Linked DNA regions of Pelodiscus sinensis. The protein of the gene in region 3 binds, or shares a complex with, the protein of the main gene of each other region. Links are inferred from orthologs where the notes say so. Each region holds a gene or a part of one and is shown on either strand. Other genes may lie near its edges. The genes, in order: RANBP3, NFKB1 and KPNA4.

Evidence for each region.
Region 1: the proteins of KPNA4 (region 3) and RANBP3 are in contact, whole or in part, in a crystal structure (PDB 5XZX), measured with the Homo sapiens proteins. The link is inferred for Pelodiscus sinensis from reciprocal best matches to the Homo sapiens genes KPNA4 and RANBP3. Residues at the interface, in NP_002259.1 of Homo sapiens: Arg96, Leu99, Ser100, Asp102, Arg103, Pro105, Phe133, Trp137, Thr140, Asn141, Ala143, Ser144, Gly145, Thr146, Ser147, Thr150, Glu175, Gln176, Trp179, Gly182, Asn183, Gly186, Asp187, Asn219, Trp222, Val225, Asn226, Arg229, Asp261, Trp264; in NP_015561.1 of Homo sapiens: Asn114, Tyr115, Cys116, Pro117, Pro118, Val119, Lys120, Arg121, Glu122, Arg123, Thr124, Ser125, Leu127.
Region 2: the proteins of KPNA4 (region 3) and NFKB1 are in contact, whole or in part, in a crystal structure (PDB 7LFC), measured with the Homo sapiens proteins. The link is inferred for Pelodiscus sinensis from reciprocal best matches to the Homo sapiens genes KPNA4 and NFKB1. Residues at the interface, in NP_002259.1 of Homo sapiens: Arg96, Lys97, Leu99, Ser100, Ser101, Asp102, Arg103, Pro105, Phe133, Trp137, Thr140, Asn141, Ala143, Ser144, Gly145, Thr146, Ser147, Thr150, Gln176, Trp179, Gly182, Asn183, Gly186, Asp187, Asn219, Trp222, Val225, Asn226, Arg229, His230; in NP_001158884.1 of Homo sapiens: Glu357, Glu358, Val359, Gln360, Arg361, Lys362, Arg363, Gln364, Lys365, Leu366, Met367.

Annotation. Positions count from the first base shown.
Region 1 is NC_134729.1:21,071,924-21,079,224, forward strand, and holds the start of RANBP3 (ran-binding protein 3), read right to left. Parts: upstream 3,020-7,301; 5' UTR 2,719-3,019; coding exon 2,697-2,718; intron 1-2,696. UniProt on the Homo sapiens protein: Acts as a cofactor for XPO1/CRM1-mediated nuclear export, perhaps as export complex scaffolding protein. Bound to XPO1/CRM1, stabilizes the XPO1/CRM1-cargo interaction. In the absence of Ran-bound GTP prevents binding of XPO1/CRM1 to the nuclear pore complex.
Region 2 is NC_134715.1:24,941,889-24,948,847, reverse strand, and holds the start of NFKB1 (nuclear factor NF-kappa-B p105 subunit), read right to left. Parts: upstream 3,069-6,959; 5' UTR 2,705-3,068; intron 1-2,704.
Region 3 is NC_134720.1:33,022,988-33,030,614, reverse strand, and holds the start of KPNA4 (importin subunit alpha-3), read left to right. Parts: upstream 1-4,605; 5' UTR 4,606-4,792; coding exon 4,793-4,861; intron 4,862-7,627. UniProt on the Homo sapiens protein: Functions in nuclear protein import as an adapter protein for nuclear receptor KPNB1. Binds specifically and directly to substrates containing either a simple or bipartite NLS motif.

The DNA.
Region 1 (7,301 bases), on a different chromosome or scaffold from region 3:
CCCCGCACATGCGCCAGACCTGCACTGCACATGCGCGCACCACCAGTGAACGGGGCGACCACTGTAATCTACTCGCCATGGGCGAGTAGATACACAGATTTGTCAAGCCCTGCATATTATCATAATAGATATATTCATGCAATTTATTTCCAAGAATACAAAAGCAGGGTGAAAATTGGAAAAAATTAATAGTTTTTATAAAATGCAGGAGAGTTTAGTAAAACTCAATTTAAATTTAAAATAAAGGGACGTAGTTATAAAGTACCATGGAAAGCTATACTGCTTCCTATCACAAGCATCTTCATACAAATCAATCTGGAAAGTTTGTTAGAGGAGAATTCATGAAAATAAGTGTTGATGAGGACTAATCCAGTTATCTCAAAAAAGAGACATTATGGTAGTACCTAGAAGCAATAGTCATGGAAGAAAACCCCATTATATTAGGCACTGAATAAATACAAAACAAAACAACAGACCCTACCCCTAAAGAACTTACAACCTAAGTATAAGATAAGCCAAAATAGATATAGACAGAGGGGTGCAAGGAAACTGCAAGGCAAAATTGGACACGATAGGCAGTTGCCTCAGGCCTCTCAGCGGCCTAAAAGATGTCAAAAGTTTTGTACACTGAAAGGAGAATCTCAAAGAGAATTCTGAATGAGATTAATGGGATAACTTAGCGCATATTTACAAGGAGTTCCTCTGAGCATGAGGAAAAGTATGGAAGAAGGCACAAAGGTCTTATTTTAATCTTTTAATGAGTGTGTGATGGAGGCTGGCATCATGGCTAATCAAAAGTGTAAATCTACATGTCAGTCAATGTGAGATGACTGGTGTGGTGGGAACACACCATGAAGGGCCTTGAAGGTAAACATAAGTAAATTTTGTTTGAGGCAACAGAGAAGAGGAAGCCAATGAAAGGATGCAAGGAGAATGTGACAGGATAAGAGAATGACTTTGTTGCAGCCTCTATCAGAGGCAGGCAGCAAGGGGGGGAAGCAGGAGATGATGTTGGGGGGAAGCCAGCGTGAAAGCCAGTTTCCCCCAGCACCATCTCTGAGGGGGACAGGGGAGATAAAAGCACACTGGCAATGGTGCAAGCAGGGACTGAAGCATTCTCTACTAGCGCTGCTTCTGCTGCGATTCTGCTTTTCAAATGTACAAGAGCCCCAACTCTTTCATGTTATGAAAGTTTTCTGTCTATCTTCCACTTGGGAGATACACATTAAAACTATGTCTACACAACACACCTTATAGCAGTGCTGAATCTGCATAGTTATAAGGTGCACTGAGTGGCCACTCTTTACTGCTGGGAGAGATGTTTTCCAGTGACAAAGTAAAACCACCTCCAACAAGCAAAGGTCCCACTGAACAAAGCACTATGCAAGCAGACACTTTTCATCAATTAATTGTTTTTTGTTTGGGTGGTGGAAGGCAAGGTTTTCCACATTTTTGTTTGGGTGTTAGGGGGCAAGGTTTTCCACATTTATTGGAAAACTTGTGTCATTTGGGTAAGTGCCAGTGTAGATAAAGCCTAGGACCTCTACATGGTATGCCATTCTCTCTTAAAGCTCCCAAGGAAGAATTAATAAAACCAATTTCCCTGCCCTCACAAAATTATGGCTATACAAAAGATACCTAAATTTTCTCTAATCTTGCAAGGCATATTCTTAGCCAACTGCTAGACATAAATACACAGCATTAACAATGGGAATTTTACAGCTCCCTTAAATAGGCATGCCAAGAAGGGACATGCTACCTGAACACTGCATAAAAAGGGGTGACATATAAGGAGGCACCTAGCCCCAAACAGGAAAGAGAAATACTGAGCTTGCTTTTCACATTTTGGGGTTCAAGTGATAATTAAACAAGAGGCAGCTCCCACAGGTCTCTTCCTTTGCCACCATTGCCTCACAGTTTTTCACCATGAACAAAATAAGGTGACTAATGGGAACATAGAGGGATGCTCTGTTCACATTCGGAACACACACAGGGTATGTACCTGCCAAGCTAGATAGGCTCACTAGAAAAGGATTTGACAGGAATCAGAGGAGTAGCTGTGTTAGTCTGTATCCACAAAAAACAAGGAGCCCTGTGATAATTTAAAGATGAACCGGTTTGCTCAGGCATAAGCTTTTCTGGGCAAAGACATGCAGCTTGAGGAAGGGGGCCCTTGACCACAAGTGCTTATACCCAAATAAATCTGTTAGTCTTTAAGGTGTCACAGGACTCCTCCCTGTTTTTACAAAGGGATGCGGTTCTGTCCCACGCTGAAGGCTGCAGCAGGAAAGGAGTAGCTTTGCTCCTGACGCTGGGCAGTAATAAATAACACACGCCTCTCTCTTAGCGCCTGGCCCGCACAGCCTGCACCGACAGGCCCGGGCCCACGCCCAGCCCCACTTCCGTCACCCCCATGCTCACGCCGATGCCCCCCAAGGTGCTCGCTGCAGGGCGGGTGTCGGTCGGCTCCCCCCGGACTGGGGGGCGGGGAAACAAGACGGCCCCACTTAGGCCCAGCCTCTCCCTTTGTCCAGTCCGTTCCCCTGCGGTGGCCGGCACTGAGGCAGGCGGCAGGGAGGAGCAACTCCCCTACGGGGCCCGTGGAGCTCTTCCTGAGGCGAATGCCAGGCCTGCTTCGGCCCGCGGCCCAAACCCCGCCTCCGCACAACCGCGATAACGGCCACATCCCCCCCTACCTTCGTTCGCTAAATCCGCCATTTTACTTCCTCAATCACTCCCACAGTGCATCGCGCGGCCGGCCGGCCTCCGATTTACAACAGACACAGCGCGGCGGCGCATGCGCGCAGTGTCCCGCAAGGGAGGGGCTCTCCCGCCGTCAAGCGGGAGAGACTGCGCATGCTCCGAAGAACGTTTCTTTTTTTTTTTTTAACTCCCTTCCGCCTCACAGGGTTTAGTACGCATGCGCTAAAAGCAAAGGCTTCGTTCCGCCGCTCGCGGTTAGACAAACAGTGCGCCTGCGCCAAACCCACCCGCTCCGCCCGTTGCAGGACTAGCAGAGCCTCTTGGGTGAGGGGAGCGGAGTCAGCGCTGCAGGAGCCTCACGGGGCATGCGCACAACTGCACGCGCCACATTTCATAAAACCCACCTGTGACAACAAAGCATTGTCCCTTCCCCCCGCGTCGGGAGGTTGGGGGCGGTGGCTCAGGGGTGTGAGCACCCGGCTCCAGACCTGTCAGCCCTTACTGCCTCGTTCCCACCCCCCACCCCCCTCAGTCCTTCACCGCCACCCTCCTCCACAGCCCCCTTCCCGCCGCCTCAGCCCTTCACCGCCACCCCCCTCAACTGCCCCCTTCCCGCCGCCTCAGCCCTTCACCGCCACCCCCCTCAACTGCCCCCTTCCCGCCACCTCAGTCCATCACCGCCACCCCCCTCAACTGCCCCCTTCCCGCCGCCTCAGTCCATCACCGCCACCCCCCTCAACTGCCCCCTTCCAGCCCCCTCAGTCCTTCACCGCCACCCTCCTCCACAGCCCCCTTCCCACCCCCTCAGTCCATCACCGCCACCCTCCTCCACAGCCCCCTTCCCACCCCCTCAGTCCATCACCGCCACCCTCCTCAACTACCCCCTTCCAGCCCCCTCAGTCCTTCACCGCCACCCCCCTCAACTGCCCCCTTCCCGCCGCCTCAGTCCATCACCGACACCCTGCTCCACAGCCCCCTTCCCGTCGCCTCAGTCCATCACCGACACCCTCCTCCACAGCCCCCTTCCCGCCCCCTCAGTCCTTCACCCCCACCCTCCTTCACAGCCCCCTTCCCGCCCCCTCAGTCCTTCACCCCCACCCTCCTCCACAGCCCCCTTCCCGCCGCCTCAGCCCTTCACCGCCACCCTCCTCCACAGCCCCCTTCCCGCCCCCTCAGTCCTTCACCCCCACCCTCCTCCACAGCCCCCTTCCCGCCCCCTCAGTCCTTCACCCCCACCCTCCTCCACAGCCCCCTTCCCGCCGCCTCAGCCCTTCACCGCCACCCTCCTCCACAGCCCCCTTCCCGCCCCCTCAGTCCTTCACCCCCACCCTCCTCCACAGCCCCCTTCCCGCCCCCTCAGTCCTTCACCCCCACCCTCCTCCACAGCCCCCTTCCCGCCGCCTCAGCCCTTCACCGCCACCCTCCTCCACAGCCCCCTTCCCGCCGCCTCAGTCCTTCACCGCCACCCTCCTCCACAGCCCCCTTCCCGCCGCCTCAGTCCATCACCGACACCCTCCTCCACAGCCCCCTTCCCGCCGCCTCAGTCCATCACCGCCACCCTCCTCCACAGCCCCCTTCCCGCCGCCTCAGTCCATCACCGCCACCCTCCTCCACAGCCCCCTTTCCGCCGCCTCAGTCCTTGAATTCCTTGAAAGTAGGAATAAGGGATATCCCGGAAAAGGGCTTATTTTCCGGAAAATCGCGTCTACACTGGCGCTTTTCTCCGGCAAAAACCCCGCGGATTTGCAATTCCGAAGTGTCTCATTAGCATCCCTTTTCTGGAAAGGGATGCCAGTGTAGACACAGCCGTAGAGTCTGCCAAATGCTATTATTGTGCTTCATTAACAATAATCCTGGCCTATGTTCCAATTGTCTGTACAGAGCTGAGATGGCACACAGAGGGAACACACACACACATAGCCAAATATCTATCCCCCCCAAGGTTCACTGAACTCAGCAGTACGGGGATGAGATTTCAGGAGGTCACGTTTCAAGGAATTAAATATCCTTGGTACAAACTTTGATGTCCTTGTTGAAACAGTGCTTCTGTTACAGCTAGTGGAAGGTTTGAACTAGACAGAAGTTTGTCTTCTCCATAAAAGGGGTGAGCAACAGCCATAGAGACTGTTCCAACTCTTTGAATGAGTAACTACAAAGCTACTGGTCAGACCAGTGGCCTGAAAAGGAGGCTTTCTCTCCCATTTGTCCTCTGATCATCCCTATCCCACAACAGAGGTATCAGGTTAGGAGCTGGGAAGATTATTTGGTTCTAAATTCACACAAAATTTAACTACAGTAAAACTCCAGTGGTCCAGCATCCAATGGTCCCACACTCCTGATGGTCTGGCACCATCTGGAACCCAGAAGTGCTCAGGGCAGCCGGACAATTGGAGCTGCTCTGCCCCCGGCTTCCCTGATTCAGCCGCTGCTGAAATTGACCAGCGGCTGACTCCAGGAAGCCGGAGGCAGAGCAGCTCTACCCCAGGCTTCCCGGAGTCAGCTGCTGGTCAGTTTCAGCAGCATCTGACTTGGGGACGCCGGGGGCAGAGCAGCTGGGGTGCTGCCGGGTTGGTCCCCTAGCACCACCCCTCGGCGCTGCGGGACCAACCCGGCAGTACCCCAGCTGCTCTGCCCCGGGCTTCCTCGAGTCAGTCACTGGTCAGTTTCAGCAGCGGCTGACTTGGGGACACCTGGGGCAGAGCAGCTGGGGTGCTGCTGGGTTGGTCCTGCAGCGCCGAGGGGCACATCCCCCACACTCCGCCCCAGACCCCTTATGCCCCCCCCCCCTTCTGATAGTCCAGCATATTTGATAATCCGGCACCCCTTGGGTCCTAAAGGTGCCAGATTATTGGAAGTTTACTGTATTATAGGGGTTGGGGAAGCTGACACTTTCCATTATGAAGAATTTTTGTGATCTGTTCTTCACTTCCATTGTTTGCAGCAGGTATTTGGCAGGGAGAACAAATATCAGGTATTGCTGAGATACACAATGAAATCACCATTTTCTTTCCCTCCTGTTCCTCAGGGAAATTTGTCAGCCTGTCAAAATAGCAGCTAAGCACACATTCTAGGCCAGACTCACACCACTATTAGACTAATAGCAACAGGAGCCACTACAGTGGGAATACATGGGTACTCCCAGAGCAGTGGTAGGATGAACAGAAGGAGAATGGGCTTTCTGATGGGGCACACTAACCTCTTGTGAGCACCCCCTGTTGGATGGATGTGAACCCTCACTATTTCTGTGCTCAAAGTATCCTCTATTATAGGGCTCTTCATGTGGCCCACAGCCTGTGGCTACGTCTAGACTACATCCCTTTTTCGGAAAAGGGATGTAAATTAGACGTATTGCAATTGCTAATGAAGCGGGGATTTAACATGTGGCCCGCGGGTGGGAGCCAAAACAAGAAAGTAGGCAATATAATGGTCTTCTGTTGATATGTGTTTTAGTAGTTTAATGAGCAATGACAGTCCAGGAATTTAAAATACTGTCATTAGAGTTGCCAGGTGTCCGGTATTGATCCAGACAGTCTGGTATTTTCACCTCCTGTCCGGTAAAAAAATTCAGAAAATACCAAACACCTAAAAAAACATTTCCCTGCCAGGAGGCGAAAATACCGGACACCTGGCAACTCACTCAGCAATTGGGCCCAGCCCCCCGCCTCCCTTCTGCCAGGCTCCCCCACTTACCTGGTTCTGCAGGGGCTTGTCTTGTGCCTGGCAGAAAAACAAAATGGCCACCGGCAAAAAAGCCTCTTCTTAAATGGGCCATGCTGATTTTTATTTTTTAATAACTGCTGTCCTTTTATTTTCTCAACAGAATTTTTTTCCCGGTGTTTTTTTGGGGGAGAGCGGGGGTCTGTATTTTTGGTTAAACCATCTGGCAACCCTAGCTGTCATATGGATGGAAATCGGGTAAATATTGCATTTTATTAATATCAGCAGAACTGACTTAAATGGGGCCTGTGTTTTGTGCAATCTTGCCTTGACCTTTGTATTCATGCCTGTCAATGCGAAATATGCAACCACACTTAAGTTGCGGCCTTCGGCATGTTCTGTGAGTATCATTGTGACCCTTGGAGCTTCCAAAGTTGAGTAGCCCTGCTCTATCAGTTGTTGCCCTCATCAGGTGAATCTTCAGGGGCTCTTTCCTTTGGCTGACACACATAGTCTAAAATGGATGACTCCCTTCCAGAGTAGCAAAGGTTCAACAACGCCTATCATAATGCCCTTGTTGGAACTGTTATTCTACCCTGGGTTAGGTTCTTAGCCCCTTCTGGACTGGCTTTAAATCTATCCCTACCACATTATAAACCAGCACACTCAGGACTTCCTCCCTGGAGATCTTAGCCTTTAGCTGTTCTCTGGTGTCCCTTAAATACTTTCACTTGAGCCTCTAATCAAGCTTTATCTTCTCCTCAGGACATAGGCCACTTCACCACGCCTGTGAGGGAATCCAGACACACCCACTACTCCCAACCCAGGGACTCTACAAGTAGAAATCACATCTTGCTTCCTTTAATAGTTGCTTCTTGTTGCTATTCCCTGGGCCACATCCCATGTAGCCTCTTCCTCTTCACCCTCACTTCAGGGCTGAC
Region 2 (6,959 bases), on a different chromosome or scaffold from region 3:
CATAGATGACAAAATCTTTCTTCAAATATCTTTAAAAAAAAAATCAGCAATAATCTCCTCCTCCCCCCCCCCCTTTTTCTTTTCAAATTACAAAAGTGTGGCTCTAAACCAGAAAAAAATAATCCTTCTTTGGCTAGCAGAATATTTAGAAAAGTAAACAAATTCACACTAAGATTCAAATAATCTCAGAATTGAAAACAAAACGGTCACATTCTTCACCCATTATATCAATTTTATGAAGTGACATTGCTGCACATCTGGGATACTGGACTGGAACATCAAACCCTTTAGTATTATCTCAGATTGCTCTTGTTTGGAAGAAAGAGAGATAAAAAGGACTTAAATTTGTCTATTTGTGTTATCTATAATTTTCCTCTCAAACTTTACATTTTAGTAAGTGTGTGTAAGTTTTAACAAAGACTAGTGCCTTTTAAGAGTTACCATTTTTAAATTGAATACTGAAATGTCTTGTTAATCCAATAGCAATACTTAATATGTAAAACATCAATCCTGAAAACTCTTACATGTGTATTTACTTACCCTTGTGTGGGTAAAGTTACTCATACACAGAAGCATTTGGGGGGGGGGGGGGAGGTGAGAATCAAGGCCACAAATTGTAATTCACCTTAATGCAGTCTCCATTTTTTGCAGAAACTATATACTTTTTTTTGTTCACATGAAGACAGTAACTTAATAATCCTCCTTTCATTCATGTCAACAAATATCACTCAATGAAAAACAATGGAGAGTTAAATCCTCTTAGTTTTAGAGAAAAATGTAACAAAATTAATTAGCTATTATTTTCCATCCGTTGCAATTTCATTTTCATCATTTAGTACTGAATATTCCATTTACTGCTTTTGAAAGTATTTAAGTCTGCTGTAGTATTCCCTATATTTAGAATGGCATTACTGAAAGTATCAGAAAAAATCTTTACAGGATTATATTGTTTTATAGTTTTTAAGAGAACCCAACCAATGCAAAATAGTAGAAAACTTGATTTTCTTTCAGATAAAGAGGGAATTTCACATGTGAAATCAAAGGGACATTTGAAAATTGCTGTATTTTAACACTGAAATTTTGAGCCTCTTCTGTAATTACAAAAATCCTGACAAAGTTTTAAAAAAATCTCTCCCTCCTTTTAGTATTTTATGTAGAGTCAGCTTCTCCCTGGCTTACAACCCTTCACAAACATTAATAAAAGAGTAGAAAAAAATATTTTGAGTTTTTCTTTAACAAAAATATCAAAGCATGAAATTTAAAATGGCTCTAACAGAAACTGGAATGTTTGAATTTGCACAATTGAAAAAAAATCAAGTGGACAGTCATCCTTTAAAGAATATCCACCACACAACATCTAAGGATCACACTTTATTAAAAGCCTAGTGAAGTGACCAGTAACACTCCATTTCCAATCCAGTGACTCCATAAATCAATGATGAAGAAAAACAGGAAAGAGAGTAAATGAATCATATTGACGGACTCCCCTGTACAGGTAAGGGGCCTACACTTGGACGCAATGAGGTTTTCAGAACAAGAAACATGCTACACCTGAGCTCTCATTTTGTAATCCCACCTAGGGTTCAGTACGCTACTGTACAGTATGCCAAGCCACATGGGCTCTAGTCTTAGCACAGGCAACACCTGCTGGGCACCTACTGCTTTGGACCTGCACAGAGGGTTTTACCAATAATTCCCCTTCTTTTCTCTTTTGTTTGCTTTTAAAGCTAATAGCCATCCAGCTCCACCATGGAAAAATAGCTCTGTCCCATTTACTGCATATCAGTCTTTTGGATAAGATCTTATCTCAATACAGTAAAACCTGTGTTATCTGGCATGCTCAGGGATTAGGGTGTTCTGGTTATCTAAAAATTCCGGTTATCTGAGGGTCCCATCAACCCAGGAAAACCCAATGGACAATAATAGTAAAACTCAAGTTTTTAACATTGGTAGTTTTATAGTGTGAGGCAGTTGGTCTCACATTTCTATTTTGAGTTGAAGATGATTAGTACTTCTTAAATAAAAAATTGTTAAGCCAATCGTGGTAAACCAAGCCAGGCCTGTGCACCTGCTGATGTGACAATATTGTGGCTGGGGGCAATGCTGGTTACCAAAGTTTTCTGGTTAACAGAGTGCCAGATAACAAAGGTTTCACTGTAATCATGTTCTGTCAATTCTCTGTTGACAGCTGTACAGTTGTTATGAAAGTTGCCATGCCAAGTGTCAAAAGAAGTGGGGTCTGCTTCCTTGCCCTTTGCCAAAATCGCCTCACCTGACAGCACACTGAACTTTATAGCAGGCTACCACCCTTCACCCAAGAGAGAGCTGGACAGTGGCAGGAGAGAGACAGAACAAGGCCAGAGGGGCTTTCAGGAAGAAAGGTGAAATTTCAATAGAAAACATTATTCTTCTCCCTCACACCCCTCCCCAACCCATACACTCCCAATCAGCTTCTTTTTTTCATTACAAACCCAATGAGGCCAAAATCTGCTGTCAGCTCTACCAATCCGGAGTCACTCCGCAGTGGTACCGCTTCGGCCACGCCGCGCTGCACCTGACAGGCGTGAAGCTCAAGCCGTTTCACAGGCACGACGGACGGGCAGCCCGACCAGGAAGGAGGAAGTGAACCAGCTGGCGAAGGTTTAAAAAGGCACCAGAGGGACTCCGGCCCCGCCAAAGACCCGACACCGAATTCCGTGCTCACCCTCACGCCGGAGTCTCCCCCTTAGCCCCGCTCCTCCTCCGGGCGGGACGCGCCCCGGTGCTCCGGCAGGGAGGGCGAGCCCCGCTCCGGGCAGCCGCTCTGCCTTGCGCTTCGCTGCCGCTTGCCGCCGCCTTTTGCCGGAGTCAGCGCGGCGCCATGTAAACCAGGCTGCGAAGCGGAGCGGCCGCCTAGTCCTCCTCTCCTGTGCAGCCGCCGCGCGGCGGGGTTTTCCCCCTTGTTTGGGCGTGCGCCCCGGGCGGCTCCGTCCCACGGACCTGTCAGCAGCTGCCCTTTCGCACCAGCAGCCTCCTCTGACTCTCTCTCCGTCCCTCCCCTGCTGCTGCTGCTCTCACTTCCTTCCTGGCTGGAAATTCCCACTGACGTTTCGAGAGCGAAGCGGCGGCAGCCGCCGCGGAAGGGTGGGGAGGCTGCGCACGAGAACAAGGCGCTCCAGGGGTGCCTGTGGGGAGCGCAGGTCACTGCTGCCTTCTAACAGGCGGAGCCAGGGCAGGGCTTTGCTGTGGAACCAGCTGGGAGCGAGGATTTGAGTTGGGGAAGCTTTGTGGAAACATTCAGCTTTATTACTTGTATTACAGTGGCAGCCAGGGAGACTAGACAGGCTAGTGGCCCATGGGGCAGTACAACGGAGATACACACTAGCCAAGGGCTGCCCTAATCCCGAGGAATTTACACTGCACCTTAGTGAAATACACAAAGCAAAATCTTCTCCCAACCCAGACACACCCCCAGCAGGGCCAGTGTTAGACTCACTGGGACCAAGGGCAGAAACCAAGGAGTGGGCCTCCACCATGAGCCCCACCACCTATAACTTAGCTTCTTAGGCAACTGCCCTGCTTGCTACCCCTAACACCGACCATATGTGCTAGAGACAAACTGCTCTCTCCCTTCCAGGAAGAAACTTGTAACAAATCCTTAGAGAGCAGGATCTGTCCTCCATGGAAGCAGGGGCTACACCCATGGACAGAGAGAAAAATCGTCCAATCTAGAGGGAGATAGTTGAATACGGGAACCTTGTATTTTTACCGAAAATTCCCATTGTTGCTAACATCAGTTTATCGGTTCCAGTCGTTATCCCGTAGCAGTTAAAAGTAGATTATTTGATTAACAGGGTCTTGAAAACAGCCACTCAGCAAAAGCAAAGCTCTTGAGGCATCCATCCTCCTTTTCTATATGCTTGCATAGCATCTCGGACCTCAGAGCCACAGGTTGGCTGGCCTATGTTAAATAATACACCAAAGCTACCAAGGGAAGAGAATTGGGCCCAAGTCTCTGTAGGAAGTTCAATATAAGTCTAAAATGTAGGGTTCCAGCCAATAGGAGCTGAGAGTTTTTGCTAGTGGGTAAAGGCAAAATCGCCTTCCGTCTGATAGTACACTGTTCTTTATAGCTAGCTACTACTCTTCACCTAAGCCGGAACTGAAGCAGGAAAGCTATATGAATAAAATTGTGAATAAGGTTGCCAGTTTTGATTGGACATATTCTTGGAGGTTTCATCATATAACAATCTTTAATTCCTGGAGACTTCACAATACTCTTGGAGGGGTTGAATATGCTAGAGGTGGATAGACATTTTAATGGAGAGGGAGTTCTGTAGAAGATTGGTTGCAAAGGATAAGATCTGGTTATCCACTCCCTTTGACCTTGTATAGTCATTCACATTCGGCATAGTGGGTGTAATACATGGTCATTTTGATTTGGAAGTACAAAGTGTACATAAGGGGTAAGGCAATGAAGAATCAGGTCCTAGTTTGTTTGCTGTTTAAAAAAAACATTAAATCAAGGCAAATGGGAGCCAGTGAAGGAATCTGAACAGAGCAGTAGCATGTTGAGTGGTAAGAGAATAATGGAAAAAGGAAAATATTTTAGTAACTGTCTTTTTTCTGTGCTTGTACAGCTGCCAATGAAATTGGATCCTAGTCACCTATCTGTGATGTTATGATAATACAAATAATAAAAATGATAGCAACAGCCTTTTGAATGGACTAAAGAGGCGCAAGAAAAACAGCTGATAGACCAGAGAGAAGGTTTCAAAGAAGGTAAGAGATGACCAGTACATGGAGGAGTGTTTTAATGGAAAGGAAACTCTGGTGAGACAAGAAAAAGAACATCCTGACACACACACGGAAATGTTAATAGAACTTTGTAACATTCTGGCAATCTGTGCTAAACTGAACAATTCAAAGAGCAGCATGAAAGAACCCACGTTGCTTTATGCAATGGTTGTTGTTTTTTCTGATGTACAGGAGAATGAGGGGCAACTAGTTTGGCAGGTCATATTTGTTTTTCTTGCTGTTATGGTCTGAGATTCTGGTGGAGGTGGAACTAATTTCGGTGCTGCATATTGTAATTTCTGTCTTTCCTATTGATGGGTCCCAAAGGTTTTTTAGAATGTTGATGGATATTATAATATATTCATAATGATTCTCACACAATTTAATAAATGCTCTACAGTAAATAATGTTAAATTCTGTGTTGCACACATATACAGTACATGTACTCATTCTCATTGCAGATTTAACTATAAATCTGCGAGGCAGCGCCAGTTGATTGGCTTCCCATGGGGTCCAGAAAATCTTCCATACAAATGATGGGGACTACTCAGAAAAAACAGTCTGGGCTGCTTTCACTTAACAATCCAGCTCCGGCTGTTCCTTCATTTAACATAATTTACAGTATGATCTCAAAGCGTACAGCACCACATTTCCAAAAGAGTCACAGTGAAAAAACAGTGCATCACAAGCAAATATCTTATGGAGAGAAAGTTCATAAGGCAAGTAGTGTCACAACAAGCTTGGGAATAAATAGGATTCTAGTCTGTTCTTTAGAAGCTAGAGACTAGACTATGATCCCTTTTTTTTGCTGGTGATCAATTTACTATTTAACCCTTCTGCCACTGAAATAAAGGGATTTTTTGTCATAGAGTTCATTGAGGTCACATTCTTGCTAGTTCACTAGCCTGCTATACCCTCAGTACTTGTTCTCACTGGACCATGATTAATAATGGACCATGTTCAGTAGCCCTACTAGTGTGGTTCAAGACAGCTGTCTCACAACCCTCATTTGCACCTTTGCAAGCTAGGGCACATCCTGAGCAGCCCACTTCTCATCTGTGTCTGACTCAGACCATTAAAAGCTGAGCAAGAATGACTCTCTAGTGGGTAGGGCACTCACCTGGGAGGAGAGACACAGGGTTCAGTCCTTCCTATTTCCAAGCACTCCCTAATTATGTATCCACGGAGGTACAACTTCAGCAGGAGACACTATAAAGGAGCAACACATCAGAGTATCCCATAACTCAGGCACTCTCCTATTAAAATCCTTTCTTAAGGTTGTGTCTCCCATCTCCCAAATGAGAACTTTAAGCCTGGGAATAAAAGTTAGAAGGTGGGAAGCAGCAGAAATACCACCACCAACTCTTGCTTTTTACAGAACAAGGCAGTTAACTAATGCCCCAACACCACCCCAACTTCCAGAGAGTTCCCATTCATGGAGTTCCCTAGAGCTGCCAACTTGGTTAATGATTAAAACAGAGTTAACTGATGGGGAGGGCCACAAAAGGAACATCGGCCAAGTGACTGTCTCCCCCCATGACTCCTCGCCAGGCCACTGTCCCTAGGCTTGGGACAAACCCCACATCCACTCCAGGTCCCGCTCCTACCCTGCTTCTTTCCATACCTGCCCTGTTCATTCCTCCAAGCTTCCATCCCTCCTTGCTGGGGCCCAGAGTGGGGCCGTGTCTCTGGGAAGGGGGACACATACAGGGTTGCAGGATGTGCGGGGTTGGCAGCCAAGGCTTGGGCGGCAGCTAGGACTCTGCTCTCTGGCCCCACTGGCTGCTGGTCCCTTGCCCCCCCCGTTTGAGGGACATGCCTTTGTGCCCACACACACACACCTGTTTTAAAAACTGGACACTCCAGCAGGACTACTAGAACCGGCCTGGCCCTGCTCATTCCCTTTTGGAGGTCCTACCCTATTACTCTTCACTTTCCCCAACACACATTGCTTCCCCCCGCCCCCATCACCCACCATCTGGGTCAAAGGGACTCACCTGTGGAACCAGAGTATTAGCTGTAGCCACCTGATGCAAGTAGCAGGCAGCCGGCAGTCCTGGCCAAGTAGGGGCTGACATGAGTGATGGCCCAGCGCCTCCCTGCTTCCAGTAATTGGCTGTTGGGTCCCCTTTTCAACCAGATGTTCCAGTTGAAAACTGGACACATGGATTACTAACAGAAAT
Region 3 (7,627 bases):
ACGGTGATTCACGGCCAGTGGGAGCTGAAATTGCCTCTACCTGTGGAGGTACAGGTAAATACAGCGGCTAAACCTGGCAAACTGGATCAGGCCTGCAGGCTGACATTTGCCCACTGCTGTGCTAGAATGAATCTATCTTTCAGTCCTGACTGCAGGATGAAGTAAATGAAAGTGACCACTAATAGGTGGGATCAACCCGACCAGAAGCTGTAAAGTTTTGGCCACATTAATAATGTTTCATGGCAGGAAGTCAAGGGCATGTAGCTCTGACCTTGCTGCAACTTCTTGACAAAGCTTTCTCCCTTCCCATCCCAGTTCATCTCATTTCTACCCTTCAGCACCAGCTCGCTGTAGGTCACTACTGTCTGGTACTGCAGTCAAGGTCATCCTATCCATAGGATGATTTGAGGCAGCCGCTCCTGGCCCTGTGCTTTGGGAGACCCTGTGACAGCTGCCCTGACTGTTTTATGGACATATTGAAGGGAGCCTGTGGTGCCATCAGCCTGGGGGATTACCAGAAGAGTATTGCATGCTCCAGCAGGTCACAGAGGACCTCGACGACGCTGATGGCATATACATCCGTTTTCGTCTCGACGGGAGCGTGTTCAACCTGAGGCGTTTGCAGGCCCACACAAAGACCATGGAGAAACTGATCAGGGAGCTGCTGTTTGCTGATGATGCCGCCCTCCTTGCTCACACAGAGGCAGCTATGCAGCGAATTACGTCTTGTTTCGCAAAAACTGCTCAGATCTTCGGTCTTGAAGTCAGCCTGAAGAAGACTGAAGTTCTTCATCAGCCCGCACCCCACGAGGAGCACCATCCACCAAGCATCTTCATTGAACAAACAGAACTGAAAGTTGTCCACCAGTTCAACTACTTGGGGTGCGTGATCTTGTCTGACGCCAAGATGGACAAAGAAGTCGATAACAGGCTGGCCAAGGCAAACAGTGCATTCGGCAGACTATACAAACGTGTCTGGAACAACAGTAACCTCAAAAGAGACATGAAGGTCAGCGTCTACAAAGCTGTTGTGCTGACCACTCTCTTGTATGGCGCTGAGTCCTGGGTCACGTACCGTAGTCACCTGAGTCTCCTCGAGCGTTTCCATCAGCGCTGCCTCCGCACAATCCTCAATATTCATTGGAGTGACTTCGTCGCCAACACTGAAGTCCTCGAGTTAGCGGAGGTCACCAGCATCGAGGCCATGGTCCTCAAGATACAGCTTCGCTGGGCAGGGCACATCACCAGGATGGAGAACCATCGCCTACCCAAGATCGTGCTGTATGGGGAACTGTCCTCTGGCTACCGCGACATAGGGGCACCACGAAAGCGGTACAAAGACTCCCTGAAGAAGTCCCTCACTGCTTGCTGTATCGATCACCATCAGTGGGCAACACAAGCAGCTGATTGCAACTCCTGGCGGCACACAGTCCACCTCCTTCTTCGAAGATACCCGCAGGGCCTGTATGGAGGACAAAAGGAGAAGGAAGAAGAACCGTGACCCCTCAGCACCTATCTCGGATCAGACCTATATTTGCAACCGTTGTGGCAGGACCTGCCTGTCCCGCATAGGCCTCGTCAGCCACCAGCGTGCCTGCAGAAGATGTGGATTTCCTAGATCTTCGTTCGCGAAGTCAAGCCACGATTGCATGGTGCAACAGCAGCCACCAGGCCTCCCACACTTACCATGGCGGCAGAAGCCTGGGAAGCAGAGTGAAGCAGACGGGAGCTTGTACTACTGTCATCTCCCAGCTGGGTTGTTCTTCTTAACTGCAGTGGTAGAAAACAAAGTGCTCCAGCCCCAGCTTGCTCTATTCCCCTAAGTGATGCAGAGTTCTGGGAAGCAAAGTAGATCGGGATGCTCCACTTCTCAGGCTCCTGCTGCCATGGTGAGTATGAGGGAGTGTCACGTTATTGGATTTTAGGGTGAGGAGGCAGATCATTGTTGCACCCACTAGTGTGTTTGCTCCAAATTCTGTACGAAGTGGGCCGTGTAAGGTGTCAAATGAAAGCTTATGTTATGCTGACCAGTATGTTATTCATATGCTGGTATGATTATTGTATGTATGTTATGGATACAGGCTCTGTATTTGTATTTAAATGTTCTCCATCTGAGAGGCAGCAATGGACTTCCATGACATATTGTGAGGAGTGGTTATCCAATGAATGGCTGTGCTAATTAGCAATGCTGCATAGACAGAGGCTCTCAAGGTTGCCAATACACGTGAGGAATGCATTTGGAAACTTGCAAATGAGCAAGTCTATCATGGCTACTTGCATGAAAGACAAAGAAAGGTCACTTGATCATGTGACAAATGCCAGTTTGGGAGGCACTAGGAATACAAAAGTACCATGAGGGCATCTCCATCTTGTCTTCAATCTTGCTCCTGATTCCAGAAGCATCCTTGCTAGGGACAGAGAACCAGGAAGGATTTGTTGACCCATCCTGACACAGGATGTACACCAGAGTCTTTTAAGTTAGCAGTTTGTAACATCTCTGCTAAGAGCCTGCATCAAGAACTTGGTGATTGATGTATGTAATGTATTCTCTTTAACAATCTCACTCTCAACCCTTTTCTTTCATTAATAAACCTTTACGGTGCGTTTAGACTGGCAAAAACTTCCCAGCTATCTATACTGGCAGCTTGAATTTGCGCAACAGCACTGACGTTCCAATGTAAGAATTCAGTGCTTCTTGCACAAATTTTTTGACGCCCCCACTCAGGGATAAGCCCTCTTGTACAAGAATACTTGCGCAAGAGGGCCAGTGTAGACAGGCACCTTAATTTTTTGCGCAAGAAAGCTCAATGGCTAAAATGGCCATCGGAGCTTTCTTGCGCAAAAGCGAGTCTATATTGGGCACGGATGCTTTTGCGCAAAAGCACTTTTTGCACTAAAGCATCCGTGCCAATCTAGATGCTCTTTTGCGGAAATACTTTTAACAGAAAAACTTTTCCGTTAAAAGTATTTCCGCAGAATCATGCCAGTCTAGACACAGCCTTAGATTTTAGATTCTAAAGGATTGGCATTGTGTGCTCTTTTGGGTAAGATCTGAGATATAAATTGACCTGGGACTGTGACTGGTCCTTTGAGACTGGGAGAACCTGTTTGGAGTTGGTGAGATTGGGTTTTATAACCTCTCACCTATGTATGTGGATCTGACTGTTGCAGAGGGAACGCTGGGGTGTCTAAGAGGTTTTGCCTTGTGAGGTTTCTTGCTGGCCAAACAGGGCACTGAAGTGCTCTTTGTGACTGGTCTGGTGCCTTTATAGGGAAGGACCTCACTCTTGGGCTGTAAATTGCTCTGGTTCTAAAAGAATCGCTCTAATCCAATACTCTCTCAGCAGTGACTAGACTGAATCGTTATATTACAGAGGAGGGAGCGACCCGTTGCCACTCCGTGCTACACTCCCTCATAATCCCTTGGGTCACATAGCTCTGGGAAGGGGACTTCGGGAAAGAGGTATAAACAGGACTGGAGGAGGCAAAGCAGGGGTGGAACTTGCGGTGAATCCTGGTGAAGCACAAGGAAATCCAGCCCTGAGGATGCCATCCTACCTTGGCCCCGCCCCAGCTCCCTCCTCTCTACTGTGTAGTTGCGTATTGCCTGGCTGGTATACACACTCACCCAGTGATGATAATAAAACGTAATTAGAAAATACCAGACATTTATATGTCCAGTATTTTCTCAATTTGTTTCCCAGACAGAAAGGTCAAAACTGGACATCTGGCAACCCTAGTTGTTTTTTTTTAAGTTTTTTTTCCCCACTTACAGACTAACATAGCTACCTCTGAGACTTCTTAGCCCTAGTCACCCAACTGGGCTCAAGGTATCTACTGACTCCAAGGAACTCCTATTCCAGTCTCACATGAATCCCACCGTGACTGAAGGAGGTGGACTGGGGGGTGCACAGTTGATGGGGAGGTAGATGCAGACACAAGAAGCGATTCAGCGTTAGGAAAAAGAAGCAGCAGTGAAAGCTGAGCGCCCCTACCCTGGTGCTGGTTTCTGCACGAGTGCAGGGCGAGAAACGCAGAGAAACCTCTTGTTAACAGCTACAGAGAATACTAAGCCAGCAGCTGCTAGCCCCTGCAGCCTCCTTCCCCCAGCAGCGGTCTCGTGCCCCGAGAAGCCTCCACAGCCCCCAGCGTCTGCGCAGCAGCCGAGGGGGAGGGAGGAAGGCGGTGACGCACGTTGTTGTCGACTTTCAGTTGTGTCAACAACGGCAGCAGCCGCTGCCGGAAAGGGCGGGCAGGGCGCCCCTCGGCTCTAACAGCGTGGGGCGCAAAATGGCTGCCCGGCGCAGGGGTCAGGGGGGCACCCCGCTGGCTGCCGTGAAGGAAACTCCATCTCCCTGCCTGCCCTCGGCGCCTCGTCCTACCCTGTCCCCTGCTCGCCACCGCCCCGCTCTCCTCCCACAGCGCGGCCCTCCCTCCACGCTCGTCTCTCCCATTCGCCGCCGGCCCGCCCCTCCCCAGCCAATCGGAGGGCGCGGCAGAGAGGGGTGGGCGTAGCCTCGGCCAGCTCCTGCTAGATCGAGGCTACCTCCTCCTTTCCCCCGCCCTCGGCTCTGTCCCTTTGCTGGTTACCGGCACATTCCGGCGCCCAGGCAGCCGGAGCTCGCGAGCGGCCGGAAGGAAGGAAGGCAGGAAGTGCGGAGGCGGCAGTGGCGGCCTAGTGGCGCAGGCCGCAGCGCGGACGGGAAGAGAGTGCGAGTGAGCGAGGCGGCGGCGGCGCCGGGCAGGGGATCCCGGCAGGCCCGGGAGGAGGCCGCGCTCCTTCTCTCCCGCCATGGCCGACAACGAGAAACTGGATAATCAACGGCTGAAGAACTTCAAGAACAAAGGCCGCGACCTGGAGGTAGCTCCCACAGCACCCCGCGGGAAGGGCCGGGCATGGCGGCGGGACTGGGCCGCCGAGCTCTGGCGTCTCTCCTAATCCCCCTTCCGGCACAACCGCCTTCCTGCTGCTGCATCAGCCGAGGGCCTGCTCCGAGGCTGAGGCCTGCTCCGCCGCTGTGGAGGGGAGGGAGTGTCTTCCCCTTTCTCCTCACGAGGGCAGGGGCGCTACTTGGGTGGGGTGGGCGGACGGACGAGCTGAGTGAGCCCTGCGTTTCCCCTGCCGGGAAGAGGCTGCCTTTCCTTCCCACCCTCGGACAGCTTTGGGGCTGAGGGCGGCTGCCCGCCCGGAGTGGGGAGTGTCTGCACTGACAGCGGAGTTAACGCCTTTCGGCATTTCCCTTCTGTGGCTATCTCCCTTGGTTTTGCTGTACACCAGGGAGAGGAGCGGGGAGGACGCTGACGGGTGTGTGGCTATGAGGCACGGGGGTCTTTGTCGTCATTTTCTCTGTAAGAAACTGGTGGCTATTGACATGAACGGAGTTCTGCTGACTGTTAGCCCTTCCTAGTACGGGTTATGTTTTTTTCTTCAGAGTATCTGCAGGCCAGTACATAGTTGAAATGCAAAATATAAACTGATGGAATTAACATAAGTGCAGCTACAGCACTATAGAAACAGTCAAGTGCAGTCTAATATATTTTTGTACAACCTCACTTTGGTTTGGCACTGTTGCAATAGGGGGTCAAGTACCATCAGTCATCCACTTCCCAGATAGTAATGAAAACCGTTTTGGTTTATAGCTTGGCTAACACATTCAGGTTATGGCTTTTCCCAGTTATGGCAGTGAAGGCCAAAGAAGACCCTTATTGGAAAATGTCCTGCAGTTGGTCCTCCTTTGATGCAGCAGTTCCCACAGCTTAACAATTTCATATGGGACAGAGACAGTTAGTCAAGTAAGCAAGTCCTATGCAATTCATGTTTTTTTCATAAAGCAGTCTCTAAAGTCAGCACCTTGAACTCCACACAAACTTCTGGGAGCCAGGTAAGATCCCAGAACACTGGCATAATGTATTAGCTGCATAAAAAACCACTTAAGTGGGTCTTTGTGTTCTGCTCTAACTTCAGTTTCTGAATGGGTTTAAGATGTGGTAGAGCATAGTGTAATCTAATGTTGAGATGACACAAAGGCATGAAGAACTTGGCTTTTGAAAGTAAAGGATGGAGTTGCTCTCTTTCACTGATTGGCATGGGGAAGGAATCTTTTCTACCTGTGCATGAAGGAATAATCCAGGATCCAACATCTAGGTTTTGAACTCGGTTGAGTATATCGGTATAACTTTACCTGAAATGTTTGGGATTGACAGATAATGAAAGAGAGAGTAAAGCATGCAGGAAATAAAAGATTAGTTTAATATTAAAGGACTTAGTTAAATGGGGTTCTGCTGTCTTTGTGTAAAAGTACCTTCCCCGTTGAGCTGTTTGCTGGCTGCTCTCCAAATACTAAAAACAAAAGCACAGGGTGTATTATAATTCCAGAAGTGGTGCTGTGAAGGTTTTTATTTAAAACAAACCTCATACTTCATTCTCTTCTGTATATTATTTTATATGGAAAAGTATAATGCAAAGTTCTCTTAAATCACTGCTGTGTTGGATGCCTAAACTTTGCATTTTAATGTAGGTTCTCTAAACTCATACTATACATTAGGGATGTGAATGACTAGTCAACTGTCCGATAAGCAAGTGGGAGAGAGGAAGAAAAGGGGATGGTTCAAAGTGGCAGTGCTGCATAGGGCCCAGGCCAGACCTTGGGCTCTACGCGGAGCTGCTGCTTTGAAACGCCGTGCAGCCCAGGGCTAGCTGGGGACTCCCCTGCTGACCCCAGGCTCCATGCGGCGCTGCCACTTTGAAATACTGCAGGGAGCTTGGGGTCAATGGGGGACTGCTTGAGTCCCCTGCTGGCCCCATGTTCCCCGCAGTGCTTTCACTTTTAAAGTGTAGCAACAATCCTGGTGCTGTTACTACACTTCAGAAGTGGAGATGCCCTTATTGATTACTGGAATAGTCAATGCAAATTGCACCGACTACTGGATTAGCCCATTAATCTAAATTTAACATCCCTGCTATACATATGTTAATCCTGAATCCTTCCCACAAAAATAAGACTTTTATAATTTGGATGATAGCCTGTTTAGTTTTAGTTATTGATGAAATTTTAAAGACACACACTGATTTGAAGATCACCCTCTTAAGAGAGGACTTTTTTCCTATATTTGTTTCAAGTAACCTGTAAGATAACTATTATTGAAACCATTTGAAAATATTTCTCCTGCCTTCTTTGTTTTTAGGCATTTTATAGGCATTATTTTTCTTGTTTGAGAGAAACATTTTAAAATAAAACCAAAAAATTTGGCTGAGGTCTTACTGACATATGTAATACTGTAGAGTTTATTACCTTTAAACATTATTGTATTTCTGGTAGGCTATGTGCCATCCATGTGTTTTTTGGTTTGCTGTTAAGGTAGCATTTTGCAAAATGAAAACATTGTTAAGCTGTTAAGTCTTGTTAAATTTTAGAGACTGACATCTCTCTAACAGATCTTGGAACATATGCTCAGTACTTAAAATAACTACTGTGGATGATCATTTTTCAAATAGTAGCTCAGGCTTGTGTGACTATCATTCTGATTCATTGTTTATACATCACATTTTTTCATTACAGCATGAAATATTGGTAATGGCTGTATTTAGTCAAGCTTTAGCAACAGTTGATTTTTTTTATCTTGCATT